Lonchura striata: one gene and its partners. The main gene of each other region encodes a partner of the protein of the gene in region 2 in a complex. Links are inferred from orthologs where the notes say so. Each region holds a gene or a part of one and is shown on either strand. Other genes may lie near its edges.

Region 1 (7,300 bases), on a different chromosome or scaffold from region 2:
CAAAATCCCCCCCCAAGCCCCCGGGGGTTTTTGGGGGGCACTCACGGCGGGTGACGACCCTGTTGAGGATGTTCATCAGCTCGGTGGGGCTCACCTCCATGTCCTGGGGGGAACGGGGGGTCAGGGGGGGCTGCGGAGCCCCAAAATCTTGGGGGAACCCCCGAAATCCTGGGGGAGCCCCCGAAAGCCTGGGGGAACCCTCGAATTCTTGGGGGAACCCCCAAAATCCTGACCCCGAATCCTGGGGGAACCCCCAGACCCTGATCCCCTTAAAGTCTGAAGACTCCCAAATCCTGACCTCCAAAAACCCCAAAATCCTGACCCCAAATCCTGACCCGTCTCCGCAAAGTCTGGGGACCCCCAAATCCTGACCCCGAATCCTGGGGGTACCCCCAAATCCTGACCCCGAATCTTGGGGGACCCCCAAACCTTGGGGGTTCCCCCAGATTCTGACCCCAACCAAGAGGTTTCAAGGGATCAGGTGGATCCCAGTGTACCCCAGTACACCCCAGTGCACCCCCACGGATCTGGGGGTCCCGGGGGTCCCGGGGGTTGGGGGTGCTGGAGGTCGGGGGTCGGGTGTCCCAGGGGTCCCAGGGGTCGGGGGTCCCGGGGTTTGGGGGTCCTGGGGTCGGGGGTGTTGGAGGTCAGGGGTTGGGGGTCCCAGGGGTCTCGGGGTCGGGGGTCCCAGGGGTCAGGGGTCCCAGGGGTCGGGGGTCCCAGGGGTTGGGGGTGCTGGAGGTCGGGGGTCCCGGGGGTCCTGTGGGTCCCAGGGTCGGGGGTCCCGGGGGTCCCAGGGTCAGGCGTCCCAGGGTCGGGGGTCCCAGGGTCGGGGGTCCCAGGGTCGGGGGTCCCAGGGGTCCCGGGGTCGGGGGTCCCGGGGTCCCAAGGGTTGGGGGTCCAGGGGGTTGGCGGTCCCGGGGTTCCAGGGGTCGGGGCTCCCGGGGGTCTCTGGGGTCGGGGGTCCTGGGGATTCTGGGGGTCCCGGGGTCCCAAGGGTTGGGGGTCCCGGGGGTCCCGGGGTCGGGGCTCCCGGGGGTTGGGGGTGCTGGAGGTCGGGGGTCGGGGGTCCCGGGGGTCCCGGGGGTCCCTCACCTCCCCCGCCAGCTGCGTGAAGAGGCGCCGGAACTGCCGAACCTCCTCGCTCTCGTTGGCATCGACCGTGGAGATGTGGGCACGGGGGGGCTGCGGGCACCCCGAAAACGGGGTCAGGGCACCCCGAAAACGGGGGGTCAGGGCACCCCGAAAACGGGGGGTCAGGGCACCCCGAAAACGGGGTCAGGGAACCCCAAAAACGGGGTCAGGGCACCCCGAAAACGGGCTCAGGGCACCCCGAAAAAGGGGTCAGGGCAACCCGAAAACGGGGTCAGGGAACCCCAAAAATGGGGTCAGGGCACCCCGGAAACGGGGTCAGGGAACCCCAAAAATGGGGGTCAGGGCACCCCGGAAACGGGGTCAGGGCACCCCAAAAATGGGGGTCAGGGCACCCCAAAAATGGGGTCAGGGCACCCCGGAAACGGGGTCAGGGCACCCCAAAAATGGGGGTCAGGGCACCCCAAAAATGGGGTCAGGGCACCCCGGAAACGGGGTCAGGGCACCCCAAAAACGGGGTCAGGACACCCCGGAAACGGGGGGTCAGGGCACCCCAAAAACGGCGTCAGGGCACCCCGAAAACGGGGGGCAGGGCACCCCAAATCTGGGGTCAGGGAACCCCAAAAACGGGGTCAGGGAACCCCAAAAACGGGGTCAGGGAACCCCAAAGCCTGGACCCCAAACCCGGGGGGGGGATAGAGGACCCCAAATCTGGGAGGGGGACACGGAAGGGAGACAGGGGACCCCAAATCCGGGGTGGGGGGGGACAGGGGACCCCAAATCCGGGGTCGGGGGGGTCAGGGGACCCCAAATCCGGGGTTGGGGGGGTCAGGGGACCCCAAATCCGGGGTGAGTGGGACAGGGGACCCCAAATCCGGGGTGGGGGGGTCAGGGGACCCCAAATCCGGGGTGGGGGGTCAGGGGACCCCAAATCCGGGGTGGGGGAGTCAGGGGACACCCCGAGGGTCCCCAGGGAGGGAGGGGGCGGGGGTCACTTACGGGGGGCTCGGGGTTGTAGTGGGCGGCGGCTTCGCTGTGGGGGGGTGGGCAGAGGGGGTCACCCCAAAATGTCACCTGCCCCCCCAAAAGTGTCACCTGCCACCCCAAAATGTCCCCCCAATGTCCCCAACCCCCAGTAGCCGTCAGTGTCCCCCCCAATGTCCCCAATCCCTCCAACCCCCCCAGTGTCCCCAATGTCCTCAAATGTCCCCAATGCCCCCCATGTCCCCAATGTCCCCCCAGTGTCCCCAATCCCCCCAATGTCCTCAAATGTCCCCAATGCCCCCCCAGTGTCCTCAATCCCCCCAATGTCCCCCCAATGTCCCCCCAATGTCCCCCCAATGTCCCCAGCCCCCGTGTCCCCCGCTGTCCCCTCACCTGATGGCACTGATGACGCCCCCCAGGACCCCCAACCCAATGTCCCCCCAATGTCCCCCCAGTGTCCCCAACGCCCCCAATGTCCCCAGTGTCCCCAATCCTCCCAGTGTCCCCAATGTCCCCAGCCCCCGTGTCCCCCGCTGTCCCCTCACCTGATGGCACTGATGACGCCCCCCAGGACCCCCAACCCAATGTCCCCCCAATGTCCCCCCAGTGTCCCCAATCCCCCCAATGTCCCCAGCCCCCCCAATGTCCCCAACCCCCGTGTCCCCCGCTGTCCCCTCACCTGATGGCGCTGATGACGCCCCCCAGGACCCCCACCCCAATGTCCCCAATGTCCCCCCAGTGTCCCCAATACCCCCAGTGTCCCCAATGTCCCCCCAATGTCCCCAGCCCCCCCAATGTCCCCAGTGTCCCCAATCCTCCCAGTGTCCCCAATGTCCCCAGCCCCCCCAGTGTCCCCAGCCCCCGTGTCCCCCGCTGTCCCCTCACCTGATGGCGCTGATGACGCCCCCCAGGACCCCCATGGCCCCCCCGGCGCCGCCGCCGCCCCCCCGCTCAGGAGCCCCCCCAGGACGGAGCCGATGCCCCCCGGGAGGCCCCCCCGGACCCCCCCCCACCGCCCCCGCCCCCCAGCAGCCCCTTCACCAGGAACATGCCGGACTGGGAGCTACTGGGAGGCACTGGGAGGTACTGGGGGGCACTGGGAGCTACTGGGAGGGCACTGGGAGTTACTGGGAGGCACTGGGAGGTACTGGGGGGCACTGGGAGCTACTGGGAGGTACTGGGAGGGCACTGGGAGCTACTGGGGGGTACTGGGAGCTACTGGGGGGTACTGGGAGGGCACTGGGAGTTACTGGGAGGCACTGGGAGGTACTGGGGGGCACTGGGAGCTACTGGGAGGTACTGGGGGGCACTGGGAGCTACTGGGAGGTACTGGGAGGGCACTGGGAGCTACTGGGGGGTACTGGGAGGTACTGGGGGGTACTGGGAGAGCGCTGGGGGGCACTGGGAGAGCGCTGGGGGGCACTGGGAGCTACTGGGAGGGCACTGGGAGGTACTGGGAGGCACTGGGAGGCACTGGGAGCTACTGGGAGGGCACTGGGAGCTACTGGGAGGTACTGGGAGGGCACTGGGAGCTACTGGGAGGTACTGGGAGGGCACTGGGAGCTACTGGGAGGTACTGGGGGGCACTGGGAGGTACTGGGGGGTACTGGGGGGCACCGGGAGTTACTGGGGGGCACCGGGAGTTACTGGGGGGCACCGGGAGTTACTGGGGGGGCACCGGGGCGGCACTGGGAGCACTGGGAGCGGCTGGAAGAGAAGCAGACAGCACCGTTAGGCGACACCCGGGGTACCGGGGGGGTTCCGGGGACCCCCCAGACCCTCCCGGGACCCCCCGGGACCCCTCCCCGGGCTCCGGTCCCGCTCCGGTGCCGCTCCCGGGCGCGGCTTTCCGGGACTGGGCGGGGCCGCGCTGAGTCACGGTTTGGGGGGGGGGGGAGGAGAGCACCGGGAGGGTCCCGGGGGGTCCCGAGGGGTCCCGGGGGGGTCCCGGGGGGGTGGGGGGGGTTCGGTACCTGCGGGAGCGGCGCCGGTCCGGAGCGAGCGCGGAACCGGAACGGGGAAAGGGGCGGGGCCACGCGGGGGGGGCGTGGCCGGGGAGCCGCCCGGGGGCGTGGCCTCGGTGGGAGGGACCAATGGGGGCGCGCCCTGGGCGTGGCCAGGGGCGGGGGCGTGGCCTAGACGTTCATATCTCCTCTAATAGGCGGGGTTAACATGGGGGGCGTGGCTAACTCCTTGATTGACAGCAACGCCCCTTAGCGCCCATCAGAGTGGGCGTGGCCAGACGCGTGATTGACAGTCGGGCCCGCCCCACAGGGCGGGGTTATGCAGATTAACGGTGAATACCAAATGAGTCACGGCGTGACGTCACCGCCGCGCGCCGGGACAAGATGGCGGCGCTGGGGGGGGAATTTTTTGGGGGAGGAATTTTTTTGGGGAGGAATTTTTTGGGGGAGGAATTTTTTGGGGGAGGAATTTTTTGGGGGAGGAATTTTTTGGGGGGTTCCCTCCCCCACCCCCACCTCACTTTTGGGGTCTCCCCCAATTTTGTCCTCCCCCATCCACTTTTTGGGGTTCCCCCCCCCCCCCCCCAAAATTCCCCCCAAATTTGGGGGGTCCCCTCCCCCACTCTGAAGTCTCCCCCTCCCCCCATGTCCTTCAGCAGTTTTAGGGTCCCTCCGTGTCGCCCCATCCCAAATTTTTCCCCCAAAAAATCCCTTTTTCCCCCATTTCCCCATTTTCCCTCCTATTTCCCCCATTTCCCCCCCACAATTCCCAATTTTTTTCTCCATTTCCCCCATTTTCCCCCATTTTTCCCCCACTTTCCTCCTTTCTTTTCCTAATTTTTCCCCCTTTCCTCCCATTTCTCCTGTTTCCCCCCATTTTCACACATTTCCCCCATTTCCCTCCCAAATTTCCCAATTTATTTCCCCATTTCCCTCCATTTCCCCAATTTTCCCCCAATTTCCCTCATTATTTTCCCATTTTTTCCCCATTTCCCCCATTATTATCCCCATTTCTTCCCATTTTCTGCACTTCCCCACAAATTCCCCCATTTTTCCCATTTCCCCCATTATTTACCCATTTCCCCCCCAATTCCCCCATTTCCCCCCATTTTCACCCTTTCCCCCCCAATTTCCCCAATTTTCCTCACATTTTCCCCATTTTTCCCACAATTTTTCCACATTTCCCCCACATTTTCCCAATTTTTTTCTCCATTTCCCCAATTTCCCCCATTTTTCCCTATTCCTCCCATTATTTTCCAAATTCCCCCCCACAATTTCCCCCATTATTTTCCCAATTTCCCCCCATTTTTCCGTTTTCCCCCAAAATTTCCCCAATTTTTCCATTTTCCCCCAAAATTTCCCCATTTCCCCCCAAGATTTCCCAATTTCCCCATTTTTTTCCATTCCCCCCAAAATTTCCCTATTTCCCCATTTTTTTCCATTTCTCCCCAAACTTTCCCCATTTCCCCATTTGTGTCCATTTCCCCCCCAAAATTTCCCCATTTTTGTCCATTTTCCCCCCAAAATTTCCCCATTTTTTCCATTTCCCCCAAAATTTCCCCATTTGTTTCCATTTTCCCCCAAAATTTCCCAAAATTTCCCCCCAAAATTTCCCAAAATTTCCCCCCAAAATTTCCCAATTTCCCCATTTTTTCCATTCCCCCCAAAATTTCCCTATTTCCCCATTTTTTTCCATTTCCCCCCAAACTTTCCCCAGTTCCCCATTTGTGTCCATTTCCCCCCAAAATTTCCCCATTTTTGTCCATTTTCCCCCCAAAATTTCCCCATTTCCCCATTTTTTCCATTCCCCCCAAAATTTCCCCATTTGTGTCCAATTTCCACCAAAATTTCCCCATTTCCCCCCAAAATTTCCCAATTTCCCCATTTTTTCCATTCCCCCCAAAATTTCCCTATTTCCCCATTTTTTTCCATTTCTCCCCAAAATTTCCCCATTTCCCCATTTGTGTCCATTTCCCCCCCAAAATTTCCCCATTTTTGTCCATTTTCTCCCCAAAATATCCCTATTTCCCCAGTTTTTTTCCATTTCTCCTTAAAATTTCCCCATTTCCCCATTTGTGTCCATTTCCGCAAAAAAATTTCCCCATTTTTGTCCATTTTCCCCCTAAAATTTCCCAATTTCCCCATTTTTTCCATTCCCCCCAAAATTTCCCCATTTGTGTCCATTTTCCCCCAAAATTTCCCCATTTCCCCCCAAAATTTCCCAATTTCCCCATTTTTTCCATTCCCCCCAAAATTTCCCCATTTCCCCATTTTTTCCATTCCTTCCAAAATTTCCCCATTTCCCCATTTTTTTCCATTCCCCCCAAAATTTCCCCATTTCCCCCCAAAATTTCCCCATTTCCCCATTTATTTTCCATTCCCCCCCCCCCAAATTTTGCCATTTTCTCCCAATTTTTTCCCATTATTTCCCCCAATTTTTCCATTTTCTCCCAATTTTCCCATTTCCCCCCGAATTTCCCCCAATTTTCCGGTACAAAGGATTTTATTGGTGGCAGAAGCGGCTCCGGGGGGGCCCATGCGGCAGCGGGGGAGGGGAGGGGACATTTTTTGGGGGGAGGGGACATTTTTGGGGACATTTTTGGGGACATTAAAGCCACTGACACGAGCGGGGGTGGGGGAGGGGCGTTATTGCTCCTGCGGGGGTGGGGGAGGGGCGGCCAGGAGGGACCCTCTGGGACCCCTCCCCCACCTCGGGCCCTGGTTTTGGGGAGGGGTCGGGAGGGGGGGAGAAAATAAATAAATAAATTCTAAAAAAAAAAAAAAATCAAAATTTTGATATTTTTTGATCGATATCCCCAAAATATTATCCGGGAAAGGGGCGTGGCATCAATTCCCGACGTTAATTAATTCATTCATTCATTAATTCCGGAGAGAACAGCCCTAATTATTTTACTGGGGGGGGGGGGTGGATTCACCAAAAAAAATTTGGGGAGTGGTGGGCGTGGCATGGATCCCCCCCCCAAAAAAATAATCGATAAATTCCGGAGTGAACAGCCCAAAAATTGGGATTTGGGACCCCCAAAATGGCCCGGGAAGGGGCGTGGCCTCAACCCCCTTAATTAATTATTTAATTGATAGATTCCAGAGTGAAGACCCCCGAATTTGGGGTTTTGGGGGGTCTGGCCCCTCCCCCATCGCTGTTATTGGCAGGTTTGGGCCCAAATTTGGGGGTTTGGGGGGTCTGGGGGGTTTTGGGGGGTCTGGCCCCTCCCCCATCGCTGTTATTGGCAGGTTTGGGC
Region 2 (7,397 bases):
GCACCTCTGCAAACCAAAACAGACAATTTTTAACTTCTTTTACCAGATGCAGTTCATAAAACCACAAATCTTTTTCACAACCTTTCCTCTGGGGAGCCTCTTAATACCAAGAATCTCAGGATTAATTTCACATGAAGAAGGGAACTGCCCTAAGGGGAGCATTGTTCACCTTGATAATTAAGGACAATCATTGTGGCATTGGAAAGAACGCTATCAGTCTCAAGCAAATTACTGAAAATGGAGACTATATGAAAAAATGTCCAAAGAGTACATGGTATTTTTAATCTCTTGCATGGATTTTATGATTTGGAACAGATCAAACTTTTTCCAAAAATCTGCATGTTGACAGTGTAAGCTGTACTTAAAAGTGATGTGTTTTATTTTGTGAGCATGGATTTCTATTGATTTTGAAACCCTAGTGTATAAAGAGTTTAAAGTATATTTCTAATACACAAGGCTTTCTGTCTCACCTCTCACAGAACTCACCAATCTGCAATTTCTACCGACAGAATTCTACCTACCACTCTACAGTTTAAGAATCCAAGATGAATGGCATTGTCATTTTCATATGTATAAATATTTACAAATCAGGCTCATAAAAATAAATGAGGCCTAGTCCATACATTTTTCTGTAGTTTCAAAAATCAGTTTACACCTGAGATAATGTGCCTGACACTGGGAAAGTTCTTTTCAGATAAAGCCAGCAGACAGACGTGAGCTGCAGGCTGGCCACTCCTGCATAGCTGCAATGTTTGACATTCACTGGGCAACGCCTCACGCATTGTGCTGCTCTTCCTTTTGGACTCACTTCGGGGTCACAGCCTCATCTGGATCTGTATCCAACCCAGAAAAATACCTGTGGTTTGCTAGAAGCTTCATTTGTAGTGTGGTTTTCAAGTCAATTACCTTGAATTTCTGCTGAGTCCCAGAACTGACAGCACATTTGTTTTCCCCAGTAGAAACTGGGGAGAGAGGAGAGGACCAAACATAGGTGGGTGGAACATAATCCTGGATGATGAAGGCTAAAATTTAATTTATTTCCCCTCATGGTTGTATGTGATACATTGTACTAAACTTTGGGATTTGCTGCATTTCAATGTAACAAAGGAGAAAATTTGCATAGATAGATACTGCCATACATATCACTCAAATCTGGCTTCAGAAATTATTCAAGATTAATTTTTAAATTGTTTTGTTTTTTAGTTAAAGTTTGGCTCTATTCAGGGAATTACAAAACATCAAACCTCAAGGAAGAGGTTTGATATTCTGTAATATCAAAATATTACAAAAGGTTAGAGGTTTCCCTAATTTTCTCTTGATTGGTGTCAAAGTTTATGTCTTCTGTCACAGGGGAGGAAATCCCCACTTAGCAGTGGAATGGAGTCCAGCAGGCAATCTTCAGACTGCACTAAACTAGCAGAGGACATAAAATTTATATGGTATCAGGTGTTTATAACGTGCAAAACTACATGTATCCATAGATAAGGAAATAAACCTTTATTTTCAATAGTTAGGATTGGCATTATTGCTTTCTAGAACAAGAATGTCATCAAACAAGGCTTATCAACAAATAGAATTTTCGTTATTTAAATTTCCAATTTCCATTTACTGAACATGCTGTGAACAAAAATGGCAGGAGAAGAAATTAAATGTACTTCTCTGTCTTTGTTGTTGTGGGTGTCACTATACAGGGTGGGACTGAACACATCAAATTAAAAAGAAAAATAAAGTTAATCCTGATGGTTTTGGGTTTCAGAGGAAGACAAGAGAACAAAAACTTGCAGTGAGTTTCTTCGTAAAACACAGGAAGAGGATGAAAGAAATTTAAAAGAACTATTTTTAACTAGTTTTAATACTAAGACATCTTTTAAACTACCCTAGATAAAAATCCAGTTACACATGAGATTTTGTACTTTATTTTGTAGATTTTGTGAATGACTCATAAGCTTGCAGTCATATCATTATGCAAGTTATATTAATAAAATATGTATGCTTGGCAAAAATTTCATCCTATCCTGCCAGAATTTAGTGCACCTTTTTATTGGGAGGCATTTGACGTCAATTCGTGCCCTTTGGAGATGAGACATGGTGGGGAAAATGAGTCTGTGATTCTCCATTCCAATTTTAGACTCCTAATATCTTGAATTACATGGAAATGTATCCATTACTATTAAAAGCACAAAACCTCTTTTTGAATACTTGTTCTACATCACACATCATTGCAGTAAAGAACAACCTGTGTGCTCCTGATGTGGTCATCTGCTCTTTTTCCAGCCAATAAACATTGAAAAAACAGTTGATGTTTCTGCTGTCCATCACTACTTGTATCTGTTTCTGATCAGCCCTGTGCAGAACTCCATGGCTAATGCCATGCAAAATCTCAGCAAGTCTCAGTGGATTTGTTCACTTGCAGATGTTCTGAAAGAAAAAGTAGAAACCGTGACAGAAAACACTGATTTTGATACCAAACACTTGTATGCTGCTGCAAGCTGCAAGGAAAACTTATTTTTTCCTAGTTAATGATAGTAAGTGTCAGACTGACTTGGATAATTATGACTGTTCTACTCAAACATCCAAATCTTCACCCAAATGAGTAAACTGTTGGAGTGGTGTTTAGGCCTTCAGTGCTTAAAAAGCTGACTCAGGCATCCATCAGCTGACTCTCCTTCTGTCAGACAAACAAGAAGCTGCTTCTCCATCTCCAGGTAAATATGTGCTGCCTACATGCTTTTCATATAAACCACATATAGCTAAGAATAAACTTGGGAAGAAATTGCCAATAAACAATGGTTTCTTGAAGCAAGCTAGAGGAGCCTTCTAATAGAAGCAACAATGCCAAGCCCTTGGCCTTAAAGCAAGATTTCCTTGCAAGTCTGGATGGAGCCCAACCAGTTTACAAAACACTGCAACAACTGCAGGAACTGGGGCAAGTGTCTGGGCAGCTTCCCTCCTTCCTGCAGCAGCGTTTAGACCTCCTTTATAAACTGAACCTACCAGCAGAGCTGGAATGGGTGATGTGCTTCTGGGTCAGCAGAGCCCTGAATATCCAGCATGATGCAGGCTGACATCACTGAAGGTTTCATCTGCTACTGCCCTGTTCCTGTGCAGCTCCACCACTCCAATTACTGTCAGATCCAGTTGTTTGTCATCAGGCGCTGAGATGGGTGACGCTTCCTGAGGGCTCCCTGGAGCCAGCAGGGAGGGTCTGCTGCCTGCAGCCAGCTGGAGGAATGCAGCACAATCTGTTAGACCTGTCAGAGTGACCCCAGGGAAACCTGCACACGCCAGCCCCGTGTGGAAGCTGTGCATTTTAAACATGGCCCTCACCTCCACCCCGTCTGGAGCACCTTGGCAAAGTGTCACAGGCTGACATCAGAAAGTAAATGCAGGGGTGGCTTTAGGCAGATGGCTGTGAACATTCCCCCTCCCTCTGCAGAAAAAAGTAATTTCCCAATACCTTGAGGAGAGGCCTCACCCATTTTTCTCAGGTCTGACAGCCGAGGGCTTAGGCACTAATTGATTCTACAGGCTTCCAACCATGCGGATTAGTCCTACAGCCTCTTCCCCAAGGAAGCGGCTGATGAGAACTCCCTAAAGACTTGGACACTTTTACTTCCTTCTGCTTATAGACAGGGCCTCCTGACACAAGGATGTGGTCAGGAGCTGCTGCTGTTACCCCTTCAGAGCAGCGCATCTCATCCAACAGCTGTTCCACCCATCCAGCCTGAGCCTGGGGCTCCCTGGCACACAACACCCCAAACACTGACTTCTTTTACTGCACACAACGCCACAAGACAAACTCTTCAAACTGTGCCCATTCCTGCACGCAACACCTGTGTTTTCCATTTCATAACCTGACCTGCATCAGATCCCCTGGATGTGAGGGCTAGCACCGCACCAAACCACGGGATGTGCGGCCAATTTCCAAACCGACCGCGTTTGTGTGGTGGGAATGAGTTCACACCAAGGTGACGGCCAAGGTGGAGCCAGAGAGAAGCTGAGGTAGAATGGCTTGCAGGGATGCAATGGCTGGGGAAGGAGGCTGTCATAGGAACAGGGTGCCCAATTCGGAGGCAAGCTGGCAGAGGAGCCGGCGAGAGGCCGACGGAGGAGCCTGGTGTTGCACCCTCCGCCCGGCTCCATCTCGGGGGAAAGACAAAATCCTTGCCATGGGCTGCCATGGAGCCTGGAGCCACCTTGGGTCGGCTGTCGACACCCAAACGCTTTCCCAAAGGGAACGACTTTCGTGAGCAGAAGAACGCCTGTGCCCTGAGGAGCAGCCCCCCAAAACAAGGCTGTTTTAAAAAAAGCCACTCCGGCTGCAGCTGAGCGCCGTCCCGCCCGCACTCGCGGCCCCCCTGGCTCCCCCGTCCCGGTTCGGCCCCGGCAGGAAGGGGAGGGACCGCCGGCCTCTCCAGCCGCCCGCGGAGCTGCGAGCCGCCGGGATCGGCCCGGGATCGGCATGTCGGCGCCCGGGACGGGCAGGCAGCCGCCGCCCGCGGCGGTAAGGCGGGCTCGGGGACGCGGAGGGGCGTGAGGAGGGCGGCGGTGCGGTGAGGGGCGTGAGGAGGGCGGCGGTGCGGTGAGGGGCGTGAGGAGGGCGGCGGTGGCCCCGGTGCCCCGCGGGGGAGCGGCTCGGCGCCGGCACCGCCCTGGGCGCGCCCCGGCCGGGCCGGGCAGTGCCGGGCGGCGCGGGCAGCAGCAGCAGCCGCAGCCATGGCTTTCGCCCGCTGGTGGTACGCCATGGTGAGTGCGGGGGAGAGCCCCGGGACCACCCCCGTGGGGAGCCGGGACCGCCCCGGGATGCCGCTCCCGATGCTCCCGCCGCTCCCCGGCGTTCGGGGTGGAGAAGGGGGTTGTGGTGCGGCTGCCTTTTCAAACAAAACGCCCCGCTGCTTCGGGTCGGGTGGAAGCGCGGTGCGCGCCAGCTGTCTGTCCCGTCCGAGAAAGCGACGCAGGAAACTGGAGTTTTTGGTGCTGTTGGCAGTTTTCGCCCGTCGCCCGAGTGAGGCAGGCTCGCGGGGTGATGAAACCGCGGCGGAACGCGTAAGACAGGGTTTTATGCGGGGATGTTCCCGTTTTGGGGAAAACGGTGCTGCGCCTTTTCCCGGGAGCGTGCTGCGCACGGCAGGAGCCGGCCTTTGCCTTGTCCTCCCCGAGCTAACCACAGCTCTCCGTGTGGTTCGGATGGACTTGGGTCCTGCGACTGCTTTGAAAGGCTTTAAAAAGCCTTTAAGAAACCTTTATGGTTGCTTACGCTTAGGAGGAAGTGGTTGGCCTCTGTATGGAATGGTGAAAAGGAAAAAAAAGCCTGCATTCTGTTAAAGTTTTACGGAAAGCGTGTGTTGTGAAATGTTGGTTTCAGAGAAAATATCACTTTAATGCATTTCCTAAATGTGTGATAAGGTAGATGAAACCTCTTGAAGTTGTAACTGTACTTTTAAGTTGCTTCTTGTAGCTTGGATCAGTGTTTTCGGGTGCCAGTTATTGTATTAAGTCAAGTGTGGTGGAGGTGACACAAAATCACAAAGGGGAAAGTTTGAGAATTACTGCACTAAGCTATGGAATGGATGTAAAAGGCCTCGTTAGCTCTGTGTCATTGCATCCAAGTGAAGAAAGGAGATCAAGATATGGCTGTGTATGATGAGGTAAGAAAACTGCTCCCACAGCTGCTCTTTTGGAAACTCCTGGTTGTGATTGTTGGCACTTGTGGGACTGGAGTCCTCTCCCGTGCATAGGGAGGCAGGAGAGGTGGGTGAGAGGGACAGACACAAAGGACATTAAGGTTTTTACTGGCTGGTGTATTTAAAGCTGGGATTGAATGCAATAAGAATCTGGGTTTCACGTTTCCATTCCTTACCTGGCTTGATTGTAGCTCCCCTGCTACAGTCTTTGCAACTCTTTGCATCTGATAGTTTTCCAAGCAGTGTCAAAGATCTCTGTCTTCTCCCAGTTCCAGCTGAGAGCAAAAGTCAGATTCCCATCTCCTTAAATATCTGTAATACTGCGTTGATTGACTTAAGCTGAGAATCTTGCAAGACTTCACTTCTCACCCAGTTACTGCAAGTCCTCCAAGATGCTGCGCAGTGGCCTTAAACCAAAGGCTTGTTAATGCCTTCTGAATCTCCTGAGGTTTAGAAGGAATTTCTTGCAAGCAAAGCCTTTAGTGATGATTGGATTTTTGTGCACATAGGTGTCTGCTCAGTTGTTAGCAATTTTCTTGTGCTTTTTCACCAGTTACTCTCTAGTTTATGAGTGCTGTTTGAGTCAGAAGTTTAAAGGTGTGTTTTAATAGTGTGGTGACATTTTTGTGCACTTCAAAACAGGATGAAGATCTCAGTGTAAACTTTCTTCCTCATGACACTTATGTATTTTTGTGGATATGTGATTATGGGTAGGATTGTGTGGGTTTTGGGGTTTTTTTGGTTTTTTTTTAGTTAGTAAGGTTGGAAAATATTTCGAGCTGGCTTAAAAGCTACAAGGAATTGTTAGATCATGAATTAAACTAAAATTATCACTTCAGCTGTATGCCCACTGTTGATGTAAGAAAGCTGGAGCTGCTCTGACCCAGTGCCTTGGTTTTGAATCTGTGTCTCTGGCACTGAAATTTGAGCAGGAAAAGGAAAGATTGCCCAAAGAAAGTCAGCTTGTCATCATGAGTTGTGAATATGAAGGAACAGTGGATGTACACTGTCCCACAAAACCTGAGCTTGGCCTTCTGGCCAAGCAGATTGATTTACTGCCTTTTTTTTTTCTTTTTTTGTGTTGTTGGTGATTTTTGTTGTTGTTTGTTTTTTTTTGTTTATTTTCTTTGGTTGGTTTTTGTTTTGGTTTGAGTTTTTTGGGTTTTTTTTCGTTGTTTGTTTGGGTTTTCATTTTTTTTTTTGTTTTATTTCTTTTTGTATATTCCCTATTTTTAGTGGAGTGTTCAAAGCTTGAAAATTCAGATAAGAAAAGAGTTGTTGAAGGGCGTTATTGAAATGGGATCCCTCATCATACCTTATTCACCAGCTGTTCTGGGAACCAGCATGGTTTCCCCAGGTACATTGTGAAGCTGTGCTTTCTCAGGTTACCTCCTCAGGACAGCAGACTTTCCTGCAAGGCAGTACTTTCACAGGCTGTTTTATTATCTGGGGCCAGGGAGTGAGTGTCAGGGCTCTGTGTGTACACAGTGCATTACTCAACTTACTGGGAAAAAAAAAAAAAACAAAACAAAACAAAAAAAAAAAAAACCCAAAAAAACTACTCTAGTCTGACCATATGTGCTTTGTTTCCCTGAGTTGGAATAAACATATTTGTCCACTGAGTCAAAGAGTCTTTATTATAGATGCTGTTTGACATTGCCTTCTGGAGGGAAGATGTCATGCTTTTAGTGTCTGACTTGAGTTTAGGGATAG
Region 3 (7,896 bases), on a different chromosome or scaffold from region 2:
ATCACCAGAGTGTAACAGGGAAAGACAGATGAAAGGTAGGATCACCCCCACTCTGGAGACAGCCTGAGAGAACAGGGTTTTTTTTAGTCTGGAGAAGAACAGGCTCCAGGAAGACCTTAGAGCGCCTTCCAGGTCCTAAAGGCGGCAACCAGAAAGCTGGAGATGGAATTTTTACAGGGTTTGTAGTGATAAGACAAACAGGAATGTATCTTCAGATTGACAGAGGGGAGGTTCAGATTAAACATTAAGTAGGAATTCTTCACTGTAAGGATGGTGACGCTCTGGAACCGGTTTCCCAGAGAAGCTGTGGGTGTCTCATCCCTGAAGTGTTCAAGGCCAGGTTGGATGAGCCTTTGGGCACTCTATTCTAGTGAAAGGTGCCCCTGCCCATGATAGGGGAGCTGGAACAAGATGATATTTAGGGTCTCTTCCAACACAAACCATTCTATAATACTATCAGATTTTAATAATGAATTTCAGTTTTTATGTTTGGAAAGAGGCTGAGGACAACCCCTTTTTCTGGGGGAGGTTTGGACCTGGTGACCACCTAGTGTGCCCACCACAACTATTTGATTCCAGTGATTTGTCACAGCACTTCAAATCCATTTTCTAAGCTTGATTAGCAGCAGCATGTTTTATTTTGTGTAGAATGTGATACACAAGCACCATCTAGAGGTTATAAAGGAGATGATGAAGACTATAGCTGACTACAGCAATAGCTGACAGCTGTATTATAGGAGGAAAAAAAATTTAAGGTTCCCCATGACTCAAATACTGCTGCTGAAGTGGCATTAACCCTTAGGGTTAATAGTTATAACAATTATTCTCACTTTTGTTGCCTCTGGGATTTGCATATTTTTGCCTGGCTCTTCTTGCTTTCCTTTCCCTCTCCCCATTTCGTGATGATAGCGAGAGGATGAAGGGGAATAAAGAAGAACCAATTAAACCAGAAAAATGCATCACCTGAATTTCAAAGAAGAGACTGAAAATTCCATGCAGTCAGGACTGTTCTTTAAATGGGGAAATCTTTAGAAGAAAATAACTGCTGATTACCCAGCAGCTTCAGGTATGTTTCTGATATAGAGCATTAGAGAGAAATAAGAGGACTCTCTTGTACTGCATCACTTGGCTGATGAGGATTAAACCTGCTTCACTGTACTTACTGTAGGCCCTGCAGCATAAAAACAAATCATTTTCATTCAGAGAGCTTGTTTTCTCATATTCTATATGTATGGGTTCCTATCCACCCTATTACTGTGACAATGGAGTGACTATCAATAGGAACACCATTGGGAGCTATGAAAGTTCCTAAATGTTTGTCTCTAAGATTATTGTTTTAAAGGTTGCAATTTTTAATCTGAGTGTTTGGGGAGGGAAGGGTTGCCACAAGAAGCCTGGCAGTTTCCCTATTGGGAAACACATCTAAAATTAGCTCTGATACTGCTTGGTTGTTTTATAAAAGCCATGAAATTGTTGGTGCCTGAGGAGGAGAAAGATGACATCCTGCAGAAGTAATGCCTGAGTAATTCATGAGTTGGGCTGATCCAGAATGATGGTTCAGCACTGGGAAGGAAGCTGGGAAGGATAGCTGGATTTTGCAGGATGACCCAGGTCTTTCTGACACCTCACACTGAACTGGCCAGGGCTGGAGCCAGCTTGTAATGTTGGGGAAAGCTCAGTACCTCTCCAGATCCCAGCTTCAGACAGGAAAGCAATTCCCTTCCTCTTGAAATACTACTACTGCTACTGCAAGCTTCTTCCCCTGGGAAACCACCCTCATCCTAATGAGGAGGGGGCAGTTCCTGGGAAGGAGAACAGGAGCCCAGAAGGTGCACGGGTCCTTTCCTCCCTTCCTGAGCTGTTAGTCATTTGTTCCCCAGTATCCATGTACAGAGAAAGGACAGAGGAGCAAGAGAGAGGAGGGATGATGCAAAGCAAAGCAGCTCTGGGTTACTCACAATTGCTGAGTGTGGGCACAGTGAAAGAGAAGCCTATCCTGCCTGAAACTCCATGCTGTGAATGGCAGCTGGATGCTCCTTATCAGGAGCTAGAATGAGCTGCTGCAGCAAAAGCTGAAATCACTCACTTGCAAAATGTGAGTTGGTGACTTCTTTGAAGAGCTACAGGTGTACAGGGAGATTAAGAAGAAATCTGATTTCTTTTTCTTTCTGATATTGCCTGGTTTGAGGGAGACAAAAGTGGGTAACTATTGATGGAACTGCTATTTTTACTTAAGAGTATTACACTGCTCTCACAGTCAAGTGGAAATCACCTCTTTCTCTAAAAAAAAAAAAAAAAAAAAAAATGGGTGCATTGTGTGAGTATGTAGAAAATGAAGAAATTGGCTGGTGTAGTGCTCAAAAGAACTTCCTTCCCTCAAACTGTGGACTCCCATCCACATCTGCTGCTGTGCTGGAAGTAGAAGCAGGTGAATTACCTGGCTGCAGAGGACTTGGTGGGCAGGGGCTATTCAGATGGCTGCTGGGACAGCCAACTTCCCAGATAACAAGAGAAATTCTGTATTACACCAGTATATCCTTATCCTGTCATTAAACCACATGGGACAGCATGGTCCTTATATGTTTGGGACCATCTAACAAGCCTGGCTGGCAAATATACATCTTTCCATCATTGCCCAGGTCCCTCTCCCCCTGCTTAATTGAATCATTGCTGGTTCAGTCTCTTTCTGGCTTTGTTCCCTTCTGTTCATGTCATTTACTGTTTGTCTCAGTCTTAACCCTCATTTCACCACAGATACTCTAAGAAAACTCTGGCAGCTCTGACTGAGCAGAGCAGCCAGGTAAGAGTCTTGCACACACTTGGTTTTGATTGCTGTCCAGCAGAGGTTCTCAGCCGCCAGCAGATTCCACTGTGGTAGAGATAGCTAAGAAAAGCAATTATATGTCAAATTTTCAACCCAGCTCAAACTTCTGCATCTGCTGGAAAATAGCTAGAGCAGAAGTGTTCACAAACCAAAACTGTGAGTGGAAACCATTGCTTTGAACTGACTCTGGTTTCCTGTAACCCTGACTCTCGTAAAACCAGAGAAATCTGACCTGTGGCAGCTGTACAGACTCAAGGCACTGCATGGAGCCAAAGAAACACTTTTTGAGTAGCTCTATGGCTCCCAGATCCCTCACATTAGGATGCAACACAGCCGATTAAACTCCAGGTGGTGAGGTGCTGTTGTCTCCTGGTCCAGGAGATGGCCTTGCCTGTGAGATAACTCAGCAGTGCTTAACAAATCTAAACAGCTGAGCAAAACCATCCTCCAATGCCACTCTGTGTCCTCCTCGAGCTTCAGCACAGCCATGCTGGAGACCTATGCTAGGCTAAAAGCACACCCTCAATTGAGTGCATGTAACATTACTGGTTCTGCTTCCAGCTTTCCATGTGTGATTGATTTCCCATATACTGCTAGAAATTCCAATATTCTCTTTATAAAGAGAGCCTTTCTGACTCATAGGGGACAGGAGGCATCTTCAAAGAACAGTGAAGCTGGACTGTGCCTTCCAGGTTTGGACAACTGGGCTGTCCTCTTGCGTGGCCATGATCTACACAGACATGTGCTGCTCAGACCATTAGTGACTAACTTCAAATAGATTTTGGGGGCTTCCTCTGCTACACTGGGAACGGAATGGGCAATGCTTAGCTCTTTTTCCTGTTTAATGACAATGGCTTCTCATGAACTGTGCAAGTAGGACCTGTTCTGAGCTTAGGAAGAGGAATAATAAATGATGAAAGTGCAAAACTAGCAAGCAAACGGACAGTGATACACAATGGTTTGGAGAATCATGCACCAGCAATGAAGGAAAACTCCCCACCACACCTCAGCAAATGGTACTGCCAGTAATTTTAGGTTGTTTAAGCATCTTCAAGAAATAATGTTCATTTTAGTCAGATAGGATGGCTCCAAAGCACTGTTTCATGCATCCAGGACTTGGAAAACTCTGCAGAAAGAGGTGCCACTGTGGGCGGTGGGTGCAGCATGAAGGGCTCCCGGCCTCTGTGTGCTGCCCAGGGAACACTGCCTGGCACCAGCACATCCTGAGTCAGACTTAAAATATGAAACAAATGGTTTGAATTCTCCCTCAGAGAGTTGCTGTTCTATGCGGGTGCCAGCAGCAGCATTTCAGCCATTCTTGGCAGCCAACTCACTGCAAAAACAGAGACTCTCTCTCCCCCCACACCACAGATAGGTGTTTCGGGAAGCTTGGGGGGAACCTCACTGTTTGTGGTTTGGGCTGTGCCGGGAGTGCAGGTGGGTCCACACCAGCAGTGGCAAAACATGTGCTGTGGTGACCACCAGCAAATCAGGCTCTAAGTGATCTCTGTTACTTGCGATGTTCAAAGTTGTAACAAGGTGACAACACAGGTACAGACATACCATAGTGGGATTCGAGACACATATTTTCCCTTCCTTTTTGTTTGTCTGTTTGTTGTTGTTTTTTTTTTGGGGGGGGGGGTGTTTTGTTTTTTTTTATTTTTTTTCCCTAAACTTAGAAAATTTATTGGGGGGGGGGTTGTTTTGTTTTTTTATTTTTTTCCCTAAACTTAGAGAATTTATATGGATAGTTCTGGCTTTTACACGGAAAATACCAGCTTTCTTGAATTGATGCGTACATGTGGCAATAGGATCACCAGCAGGTGTGAAGCTGTTGAGGCGCCCAGTGAGGCAGCGATGCTCCTGCACGGGGCAGCGAGCTGGAGGCACGGGAGGGGAAGCTGCTCGGACCGCGGCTGCCGGCACAGAGCCACTCGAGCCAAGGCGGGGGTGCGGCGGGGCTGAGCAGCGGCGTGGCACCGGGCGGAGCGGAGGGCTGACGGGCGGGGCTGGACGCGCCGTGCCGGGCCGGGCCGTTCTGTGCCGGGCCGGGCGGGGCGGCGATGGCGGGGATGGCGGAGGCGCTGGCGAAGGAGCGGGCGGCGGCGGCGGGCGCGGGGCGGCACGGCCGCGCTGTGCCCTACCTGGGGCAGCGCTTCGGGACCCTGCGCCAGGAGTGCCTGCAGGAGGGGCGGCTCTTCCAGGACCCCTCCTTCCCCGCCGGCCCCACCGCCCTCGGCTACCGGGAGCTGGGGCCCCGCTCGCACAAGACACAGGGCGTCGTCTGGCGCAGACCCACGGTAGGGCGGCGGGGGATGGGGGGGCTCCCCGGTAGCATCGTTCTGCAGTATCACCCGGCTTCCTCCTTCCCTCGCTCCGTGAATTTGGGTGGATTGGATGGTGCGGGGGCGGCGGGTCGGGGCGCGGCTGCCGAGCGCGGTGCGAGCCCTCCCGTCCTGCAGCATCGCGCCCGTCTGGTGCAGCTGCGGATGCTCGGGGCACCGGAGGATCCCCTTTGCTCTGGCGACAGCCTGGCAGCGTGACTTGCTCTGCCTGGAAAACAAGTCAGAAAAGTCATTTTCCTCTCCATCCAGAACTCTCCGTGTGGACAAACCGCTTTGGGTAGCGCTTGGGGCTGTCTTTTCTGATAACTCTTTCCTTCAGCAGAGCCGTGAGTTGACCACCGTGTGGTTTATTCCCGAAGCAGCCCTGCCAGCCATGGGAGCCATGGGATCAGGAGGACTCCAGGGTGCCTCCAGGCACTTCTGAAGGACCTTGGTGTAGTCAGTGGTGGGGAGGTAATGGCAGAGCAGCGTGTGCACATGTGTGGAAATGCAGTGCACCTCCTGGCACGTCCTGTGAAGTGAGCTGGCCGCACACGAGCTTTGGTCACCAGCTCCCGTTCTCACTGTGCTTGGTGTGTGTGGTGCCCGCACCCGCTCCTGCCCTGCTCCATCTCTGTGGTGTTCATCTCCCGTGGTCAATGGTTTGGTTAATTTGCTGCAAGTGTGGCCTTGTTCCCTGCCTCACCTGTGGCTACGTGTAATGCAAGGCCTGTTTTGTTCCCAGGAGCTGTTTCCCAACCCCCAGTTCATAGCCGGCGGAGCCACTCGCACGGACATCTGCCAAGGGGCCCTAGGTAAGGTGGGGGCAGAAACCTGAGTTTTCCATGCAGGTGCTGCCCCAGGGCAACATGGTTTACGCATGGCTGTAACTCACTCTAATACCTCCTTTTGCATCCTACCACCTCCATTCATTTCAAATCAGACCTTTCTCATGTTTCCTTGGCATTTGCAGGTGGGGACCATGAGTGTGGTTACTGAGCACAGTCTTTCTGCATGCACCAAGCAGGGGTGGGACACACTGGTTTCCTGATGGTTTTTCTGATCATATCCTGTTCCTTTCACATTCAAATCCATATGCCTGAGAGTAGCCTGACTCATTTCTGCCTTTAACAGTCTGCTTGGAAGAGCAGTTGTGTGTGTAGCATGACTTCTCTTTCCCCAGTGGGAGAGAATTCTGCTGGGCAGGAGGAATCTCCTGAAATCTGGGGAGATGCTGTAGATAGAAAAGTTGTATGGGGGTCACCGGCTCTTGAGGAAGACAAAACTTGGGTGTTTCAGGAGGAATGGGCCAGCCTGTGATTTGTTACGTGAGGAGGAGACACCTGCATCCAAACAGCAGCTGGGAGATCCAGTGCTGTTTACACCCCAGTGTTGTGATACCATGGTGACATCCACTCCAGAAAAAGGTGGCTAAGGGTGAACCAGGCTTCTCTGGCTTTGGAACCTCCCCTCAGCTGTAATGAGTCACTACATCCCATGTGCTGCCATTTGGAGCCAAATACCATCACTGACTTTGCAGATCTGATACTGCAAAACCAACTCCAAATACTCTCCTTCAAAAGCTTCTCCTAAGGAAAAAACAACAGACCAAAAACAACAGACCAAAACCAAAAAACTTCACAAGGCCAGAATAAAGGATAATCCAAATCCCAAGGGGAAGAATTTGGTGCCTGGAAAACCTTTTCTGCACTGATGATCAGCTTTGCCTTACATGGATCACAGTTTCTTATAGTCCAGGTGAAACACAATTAAACAAATTTATGCACCTGGCCAAAGATTACTGAGCTGAAAGAAACCCTGCTCATTAGCTGAACTGTTTGGTTACACATTTCCTGCCAAGAAGCTGCCCTGCAGATGTGATGAGTCCATGTGCTCTGGATGCCCCATCTCTCCCTGCAGTACTCCCAGATGATCTGAAGGGCTCAGCAACAGCAGTGAAACTCCCCATGGGCACAGGTCTGTTGCTTCTTGATCAAGCCTTTGAGGGATTAGACTGCAAAAGCTTCCTATAGAAAAGAAGCAGTATAATAAAAAGCACAGGTTTCCAAAAGCACCTGATATCTTCCAATGAAATCTTCTCTATAACATCCTAAAATGTGATGGGACATGGACACTAAAAGTAAATACAAAGATCAAGTAAATGCAAGCTTAGGCAAATTTATCAATACAAATGCTAGTGTCAGATAAGGCAGTTGAAAAAAAAAAAAGAATTTGTACAGTGCATTTGCCAGCCCCATTGTGTGAAAGAACAGAGATTCCATCCAGGCTCTTAGGAACTCAGTGGCTATACAGAGAAAAGATCAAAAGCATCTAATTTTTAATCAACAGTTGTCACACAAGACCAAAATCCTGCCCAGATTCATGAGAAGACAGCCAGGAGAGTCACTGCAGTACTTAGAGACAGTGAAAGAGGAAATATAAACAAGAACACTGACAACCTCTGATTCAGATATACTCAGGAGGTACAAAAATACCAGCTGTGAGTCACTTCATATCCTCTGGTGATACCATACAACCCCATGGGAACATCTGACTGGTCCAAAGACCACTAGGGCAGCAAATGCTTTCATCAATTTAAAAACAGTGTCTGGTATTAGCAACAGCAATTTCACAACTTGAAAACGAAGCTTCAAATCTTTCATTCCTATGCTCTTGCTGCCACAGCATCTGCAGAGAAAAGCTAGAAAACCAGAAAGCATCTAAGTGATTCCAGAAACCAGCATCTCT

The links.
Region 1: the proteins of CAST (region 2) and CAPNS1 are in contact, whole or in part, in a crystal structure (PDB 3BOW), measured with the Rattus norvegicus proteins. The link is inferred for Lonchura striata from reciprocal best matches to the Homo sapiens genes CAST and CAPNS1. Residues at the interface, in NP_445747.2 of Rattus norvegicus: Pro652, Ile653, Asp654, Ala655, Leu656, Ser657, Asp659, Leu660, Asp661; in NP_058814.1 of Rattus norvegicus: Phe103, Leu106, Gln109, Leu110, Ile125, Lys128, Val129, Arg132, His133, Leu136, Phe166, Trp170, Lys174, Gln177, Lys181.
Region 3: the proteins of CAST (region 2) and calpain-2 catalytic subunit are in contact, whole or in part, in a crystal structure (PDB 3BOW), measured with the Rattus norvegicus proteins. The link is inferred for Lonchura striata from reciprocal best matches to the Homo sapiens genes CAST and CAPN2. Residues at the interface, in NP_445747.2 of Rattus norvegicus: Glu571, Leu572, Asp573, Ala575, Leu576, Asp577, Glu578, Leu579, Ser580, Ser582, Leu583, Gly584, Gln585, Arg586, Gln587, Pro588, Leu596, Asp597, Asp598, Lys599, Val600, Lys601, Glu602, Lys603, Ile604, Lys605, Ala606, Glu607, His608, Ser609; in NP_058812.1 of Rattus norvegicus: Glu62, Leu63, Ser68, Lys69, Gln99, Gly100, Ala101, Leu102, Gly103, Trp106, Lys161, Asp162, Leu165, Leu166, His169, Ser196, Gly197, Gly198, Thr200, Ser241, Asp243, Ile244, Thr245, Asp249, Ser250, Glu251, Ala252, Val253, Val259, Lys260.

The regions. Positions count from the first base shown.
Region 1 is NW_027461156.1:31,522-38,821, reverse strand, and holds the start of CAPNS1 (calpain small subunit 1), read right to left. Parts: upstream 3,010-7,300; 5' UTR 2,997-3,009; coding exon 2,962-2,996; intron 2,126-2,961; coding exon 2,092-2,125; intron 1,186-2,091; coding exon 1,096-1,185; intron 104-1,095; coding exon 46-103; intron 1-45. UniProt on the Homo sapiens protein: Regulatory subunit of the calcium-regulated non-lysosomal thiol-protease which catalyzes limited proteolysis of substrates involved in cytoskeletal remodeling and signal transduction. Essential for embryonic development.
Region 2 is NC_134642.1:81,128,128-81,135,524, forward strand, and holds the start of CAST (calpastatin), read left to right. Parts: upstream 1-4,389; 5' UTR 4,390-4,462; coding exon 4,463-4,504; intron 4,505-7,397.
Region 3 is NC_134607.1:21,350,412-21,358,307, forward strand, and holds the start of calpain-2 catalytic subunit, read left to right. Parts: upstream 1-4,887; coding exon 4,888-5,124; intron 5,125-5,893; coding exon 5,894-5,963; intron 5,964-7,896. UniProt on the Homo sapiens protein: Calcium-regulated non-lysosomal thiol-protease which catalyzes limited proteolysis of substrates involved in cytoskeletal remodeling and signal transduction. Proteolytically cleaves MYOC at 'Arg-226'.